Anolis sagrei: one gene and its partner. The protein of the gene in region 1 purifies or fractionates together with the protein of each later gene. This does not show direct contact. Links are inferred from orthologs where the notes say so. Each region holds a gene or a part of one and is shown in the gene's direction. Other genes may lie near its edges.

Region 1 (3,754 bases):
TGAAGCTGCAAGGCTATTAGGGCTAATCAAGGTGGCCAATTGCTACATTCACGCCTGCCTCTAGCAGACAAGAGTTCTTTCTCCCACCCTGGACATTCCACAGATATACAAACCCCACTTGCCTAGTTTCCAAAAGAGATCACAACCTCTGGGGTTGCCTATTATTATTATTATTATTATTATTATTATTATTATCTTTATTTGTACCCCGCTAGCATCTCCTGAAGGACTCGATGTGGCTTACAAAGGCCAAGGCCTCAAAACACAACATAACAATACACAACCTAAACCAAATTAAAAACAGTTAAAGCAATATTAAACAACAAGCAATAAACAATACACCAGCACACAATAAAACTGGGCCGGGCCAGAGTAATGGGTACAGAATTAAAAGTGCTGATGTGACCGGTGATACGTAAGGATTATAGGGTAAGTGCAGTGTGCCAGCAATCTTAATTCTAATAAAGTGCTTCTGGGACTTATTGATGGAGTTTTCCTATTCTGGGAAGGCACATCGGAACAGCCCGGTCTTCAAGTTCTTTCTGAAGACTGTAGTCTTTGGTGATCTTTAGTGATCTTAGACAGGCAAAACATCAGGAGAGAATGCTTCTGGAACATGTCCATACTGCCTGGAGAACTCACAACAACCCAGTGATTCCGAGCATGAAAGCCTTTGACAACACATTTAACTGTCTTTACTTGGCCTTCAAATAATCTCCTGAGCTGCTATTAGCTGGTGAAAGGTGAAAACCTTTTTTGTGGGATGCAAGGATCTCCTTATATTGCGTGCGCTCCTCCTCGCCTCTAGGGGGCGGAGAGCCCAAACACGCCCGGGAATCAAAGCCACGCGATGTTACTTAGCCTTGGCCAGGACCGGAAGTGACGTGTCTCTTTTCCCGGCTAAGGCAAAGAGGAAGGCGAAGCGAGGCCTTGGAGCTCTTCATCCGCCGCGGACTCGCTGCGAAGTTTCCTTATTTTTCTCCCAAGAAGCCGGAGACCCTATTAACCTTCGCCATGGCGATGCAAGCGGCCAAGCGCGCCAATGTGAGTCTGAAGGGACCCTTGTTCCTCGCCCCAGAAGCCGTTTCGTGGGACGGGGGTGTTCTGGCCCAGCAAACCAGGCGGGAATGGGTTGGCATCCCGATAAAGAAAAGCTCCTTGTCTTCCGAAGCTTTGGGCTTTTATATATAACTCTGTGTGTGAAACTAAAATTCCCAAAGGCTTCAGAAAACAAGGAGGCTTTTCACAGAGATCACTGTGTGTGTATATAGATAGATGTAGTTATATCTATGGACCTATGAGCAGTAGTCCTCAACCTGTGGGTCCCCAGATGCTTTGGCCTTCGACTCTCAGCTGGTAAACCGGCTTGGGTTTCTGGGAGTTGTAGGCCAAAACATCTGGCGACCCACAGGTTGAGAACCACTGTTCTGGAGAATGAATCCACTTAAAATCCGGTTGCTGCCTCCTGCAGAATTCTGGGATTTGTAGTTTAAGGTAGAGCCGTTAACAGCCTCACTAAACTACAAACCCCAGAATTCTGCAGCAGGCAGGAACTAGATTTAAAGTGGATTCATTCTCTAGTGCAGGGGTCCTCAAACCTTTTAAACAGAGGGCCAGGTCACAGTCTTTCAAACAGTTGGAGGGCCGGATTATAATTTGAAGGAAAAAAAACCCGAATGAATTCCCATGCACACTGCACATATCTTATTTGTAGTGCAAAAAACACTTTAAACAATACAATAATTAAAATGAAGAACAATTTCAACAAATATTTATTCATTTATTTGTTTATTTACAGCTTTTATATTCTGCCCTTCTCACCCCGCAGGGGACTAAGGCGGGTTACAGTGTACACATATATTTATTTATTTATTTATTTATTTACTTTGCTTGTATACCGCAGTTTCTCAGCCCGAAGGCGACTCAACGCGGTTCACAACATAGCAAAAACAGTCATAACAAAATAGCAATAAACGATTTAAAAACCATGAAAGCACAATATACAGTAATGGCACATCAATAACAACACAACAACGTCCCCTAACTAGAATCGTGATCCAATTCGTTGTCTATAATTCCATTCCTATATTCATCATATTCATTGCACTGTTTATCTGAATGCCTGTTCAAACAGCCATGTTTTTAGCTTTTTTCGAAACACCATTAACGTCGGAGCTGATCTTATGTCCATGGGAAGGGCGCTCCACAGCTGAGGGGCCACCACAGAGAAGGCCCTGCTTGTGATGCAGGTGGGATCGAGAGCAGGGCCTCCCCAGAAGATCTTAGAGTCCTGGTGGGTTCATAGGCAGAGATACGTTCAGATAGGTAGCTTGGGCCCGAACCGTTTAGGGCTTTAAAGGCCAACGCCAGCAATTTGAATTGAGCCCGGTAGCAGATCGGCAGCCAGTGGAGCTGGTGCAGCAGAGGAGTTTTGTGCTCCCTGCGCTCCGCTCCTGTTAGTATCATGGCTGCCGAGCGTTGGACTAGCTGGAGCTTCCGAGCCGTCTTCAAAGGCAACCCCACGTAGAGAGCGTTGCAGTAGTCTAGGCGGGATGTAACAAGAGCGTGGACTACTGTGGCCAAGTCAGACTTCTCAAGGTACGGGCGCAGCTGGCGCACGAGCCTAAGCTGTGCAAATGCTCCCCTGGTCACCGCCAAGACCTGGGGTTCCAGGCTCAGCGATGAGTCCAGGATCACACCCAAGCTGCGAACCTGCGTCTTCAGGGGGAGTGCGACCCCATCCAACACAGGCTGTAACCCTGTACCCTGTTCCGCCTTTCGACTGACCAGGAGTACCTTTCGACTGACCAGGAGTATGGAAAACATTCAATGCCAATTTTGACATACAACATATACAGACAGACAGAGGCTATTTAACTTTTTTCTGGCCGCCAGGGGAGCTGTCGCTTTCATCGTCCATCTGCAACACTGATGAAGTACTTCCGCATTCCCCACATGCTTTTGCTGAAGTCTTTATGGCCTCATAAATTAGTTAATTTAGCCTCCCCACACTTTAAGGTGGTACCTTATTTTCCTACTTGACAGATGCAACTGTCTTTCGGGTTGCAAAGGTCGACAACGGGCTACACAATTGGTTGGAAACCCACTCCAACCCGGGCTGGCTTCGAACTCATGACCTTTCGGTCAGAGTGATCTTAATGCAGCTGACACTCAGCCAGCTGCGCCACAATCCCGGTGAATATAAAGTTATTAGTATTTCAATGGGAAGTGTGGACCTGCTTTTTGGCTGATGAGATAGGGTTGTTGTTGTGTGCTTTCAAGTTGTTTCAGACTTAGGTTGACCCTGTGCGAGGGCCAGGTAAATGACCTTGGAGGGCTGCATCCAGCCCCCTGGCCTTAGTTTGAGGACCCCTGCTCTAACGTGATGAAGTAGTATGTGTGTGAGAATCTATATGTGTGTGTGTGTGTGTGTGTATTTGTATATGTATGCGTATATTTGTAAACATACATATCTTGCATAATTTGATTATGTGTACTGGCCAGCTTGCTTTACATCCTACAGGTTGAGTATAATGCTCAATCCCTCTGTTAATGCAGCTCCACTGGCTCCCTGTGTGTTTCCAGGCAGATTGTTACCTATAAAGCCTTTTACGGTTTGGGTCCAGTCTATTTGCACGATCACGTCTCCCTCTATGGCAGTGGTTCTCAACCTGTGGCTCCCCAGATGTTTTGGCCTACAACTCCCAGAAATCCCAGCCAGTTTACTAGCTGTTAGGATTTCTGGGAGTTGAAG
Region 2 (3,754 bases), on another chromosome or scaffold:
ATGTGGCCGGCATGACTGCATGGAGCGCCGTTACCTTCCCGCCGGAGCGGTACCTATTGATCTACTCACATTTGCATGTTTTCGAACTGCTGTTGGCAGAAACTAGGGCTGACAGCAAACATTAAATAGTTAGAAGGAGGGAAAAAAATCTGGAAACAATGTAATCTGATGAGGTAAAATGTGATATTTCATTCCAATTTGTCATGACATACCACATGGCAGGCCTCGTCTACTAAACCTCCTAAAGGCACCTCGGTGATACCACTTCATCCCACAGTAAAATAAAGTATTAAAGCAGCGTTAGCTCATGTACAGCTGAGCCTGGGATGTGTGGGTGATAGGCTTTCCAGCACTGCCAGCCATCACTGTGAATAGCGAGGACAAACCCCAATAACCTTGCCCTCACCTTGGCTACAAAGTTGGAGGCAGAGTGTATGAGCCAGGCCCAAAGAGGGCCCGGCACCAAGGCGAGGAGGCAGGCCGCTCATGCCCGCTCTTCCTCCGTCCCTTCTGGGGACATGCACTCCTTGTTTCCATGGAGCCACCACAAGGGCCGCATGAGGGACGCTCTGACCTAGGGCAGAAAAGGGGGAAGCTGGCCTCCCTTATGGAAGGGCGCCCTCGGGACTCAAGCCGCCTCACGGACGCAGCCACCAGGGCTCCGTGTCCGACCCGCAATCAATTGACAACCGGCTTCACGGCCGCTGCGCTCACCTGTAACCGACTGACTAGGACATAGTACGGCGCCATTTTGTTCACTGACAAAGATGAAGTCGCCTAGCGATAACGTCACGCGTCGGGTTTTAAAAGGCAGGCCTCAGAGGCGGAGTCTCCGCAGAGCGCGTCGCCGCCTTGACGCAACTTCCGGGGGCGTGGCTTTCCCAACAGGAAGTCTAGAGTGCAGCAGCAACACACTTCATATTTTTCATTCAGTCTGCGATACCAGTGACGTAAGAGGGGGGAGGGGCTCTGTCAGGTCTTGGCAGAAAGATATAACAACTTCGAATCATTCTATTCTTCCTTGTATTTCAAAATTAAATTGATATTAAGGCTTTGGCTTGGAAAGAGAGTGGAAACAAGTCCTTTACTCCCTACTGCAGATGGTAAAAAAAATCCCGCTTTTTGTGGCGCCGGGCCCTCTATTTGCATCCAGGACCTCGAGTCGCGCGGTTTGAAGACAGCCGGCGCGGCGAGGGAAGGAAGAGGGCAAAATGGCGAAGCACCACCCGGACCTCATCTTCTGCCGCAAGCAGGCCGGAGTAGGTGAGGCAAAGGCCTCCTCTTCCCTGGTTCGGTATTGGAGGGGAAGGGGGCTGCCCTTGGAGCGGGACCTTGAGGCCTAACAGAGCCCTAACATTGAACCATGGCAGTTAAAGAGGTGTCAAGGCATATTTATTTGACAGTGTACATTGCACCCAATTGTTATGTTATTCTACTTGGTGCTTGTGATGTTGGTCTTCCAATAAGGCCAGAGAGACATTGGGTAAGAAATAGTTTCCAGGTATGGGCAAACTTGGGCCCTCCAAGTGTTTTGGACTTCAACTCCCAGCATTCCTGACAGCCTCAGGCCCCTTCATTTTCTCCCTCAGCCGCTTAAGTTTGCCCATGCCTGCATTAAAGGCAGACTTACATAAAAAATGCCTTCCCCTGCTGGTGAAAGGAAGGCATGTCATGTTATGTTTAATGCATAGTAATATTAAAGCTTGGGATATGTTTCCACATGATATGATGGTGACAACAGGCTTATCAGTCTTGAATTCATGAATGGACAACCTGTCATTATCAATATAGAAAAGGAGACGGTTGCGCCTTTGTCGTCCCCGTCCGTCCCCCCCCCCCTTCCAGGGCATCTGGGTTGCTCTTCTGGAAAATGAATTGGTTGGATTTGGATGCACTGTTTGCCTGTTTAAACAGCATCCTGTGGAGAGTAAGTCAAGGCAACTCCTTTTGTGAAATATAGGCTCCATCAACATTGCCATATATTCCAGTTTCTGAAGGCAGATTATCTGCTTTAAACTGGATTATATGAATTTACACTGACCTATAATCCAGTTTAAAGCAGATAATCAACATTCAGAAAGTGGATTATACAGACCCACCGCCAAGAAACTTCACTTGGAGGACCATCATCCTCGAGCTATGAGGGATCGGCTAAGTAAGTCTATGGCACTGTAGATGGGGCCATAGATGTTTCCTGATTGCTTCTTCTTTCCTCAAGATGCCCAGCAGAATCTTTGTGGGGCCATAAAACCCGCTGGAGTGTGCTGAGGAAGTCACACTCTCAGCCCTAGATAATCTTGCAATAGAGCAGTGGTTCTCAACCTGTGGGTCCTCACGTGTTTTGGCCTACAATTCCCAGAAATCCCGGCCAGTTTACCAGCTGTTAGGATTTATGGCAGTTGAAGGCCAAAACACCTGCCAATCCACAGCTTGGGAACCACTGCAATAGAGGCTTAGTCGTTTGTGTCACCTTAAATCAGATCAGTCAAAAACAGTAATCATTCCATACAGTTCTGTCTCCGAAGTAGCATATTTTTCCTAATGCATCTTAGTACAATACAATATATTGTTTGTGTATAAGCTATTGTGAGTACTCTAGGTAGAAAAAAGGCTAATCACAATATTGTACCTGACTCAGATTGTTTAGGTACAGCTATAATGTTTTAGAAGACAATGTGCAAGACAACTTTTGTACATCCTTGGATCTGATCCATTTCATGTACTGGCTCAAATTTCCACCACATGTACACAGACCTTTTCACATGACCTTCTAATTCAGTGCTGTTTTCAAGAAACAGTGGTTATAATATTTGCTCTTGTATTGAGGTGGGAAGGTGTATTTGCTGCAGTGAGAGTCAGCATAGTAGTTTAAGCATTACAGTATGGCTCTGGAGACCAGGGTTCGGATCCCCAATCCCCATTTAGCCATAGAAACCCACTGAGTGGACTTGGGCAACTTACACTCTCAGCCTTAGATAAATGCAAAAGCAAGCTTCCCTTGCCAAGAAAACTTGGGATAGGTTCACCTAAGGTTAACATAAGCCGGGAACGCACACAACAACAAGGTTGCTGTAGTAGTGAGCATTTTTAAACCATCTTCTTGACTGTAAGAGCTCCTAACATAACAGATGCTTACTTTAGACTCCTGCCCTTTCCTTTATGTTCAAAAGTTATCTTATGAGCTTACCTTAATCTGCGTCATTGCTGACCTATGACGTACATGAAACATCAGACGTTGCTATTGTTTGATGGTTTTTTTTAAACAATGATAGTACTTTCTTTGTCCTGGCTTCCAAAAAAGGTATTAAATTTTTAATTTCTGTTGTTTTGAAAATGACGCTCTTTCATATGAGCAAATATAGATTTGGCAGACAGGCAAAAGATAATGCTAGTTTTAATTGTTTGCTTTGGATATAGTACTGTTGACATTTACAATGTATGGCTATGGCTGCAGTCCTAAGCGTGTGTACCTGGAAATAGGTCCACTGTTTCAACCTCATAACAACTTTGAAATCATGCTTAATATTTCATGAGTTTTTCAGCCTGGTTTTTGCTGCATCAAAAGCCATATACTCTACTATAATCTCTCTCCTACACACTGATGAAAATTGGTTATATTAATGTTTGGTCAAACATGAATAAGGGTAAGAAGTAAGTAATGTTTGACATTTGGTCCTGGAATATTGGAAGTTAGGATTTTATTAAATGTCTAAAAGAAATTATTTACTTTTAAACCATTACACTATGTAGCATG

The links. The genes of interacting proteins can lie anywhere in the genome.
Region 2: the proteins of SF3B6 (region 1) and PHF5A purify together in Homo sapiens (affinity purification with mass spectrometry; 4 studies listed by BioGRID and IntAct, with this or other methods). This does not show direct contact. The link is inferred for Anolis sagrei from reciprocal best matches to the Homo sapiens genes SF3B6 and PHF5A.

What each region holds. Positions count from the first base shown.
Region 1 is NC_090021.1:139,467,488-139,471,241, reverse strand, and holds the start of SF3B6 (splicing factor 3B subunit 6), read left to right. Parts: upstream 1-876; 5' UTR 877-1,014; coding exon 1,015-1,044; intron 1,045-3,754.
Region 2 is NC_090025.1:161,415,797-161,419,550, forward strand, and holds the start of PHF5A (PHD finger-like domain-containing protein 5A), read left to right. Parts: upstream 1-1,136; 5' UTR 1,137-1,211; coding exon 1,212-1,263; intron 1,264-3,754. Other genes in the region: ACO2 (aconitate hydratase, mitochondrial), read right to left, coding at 715-750.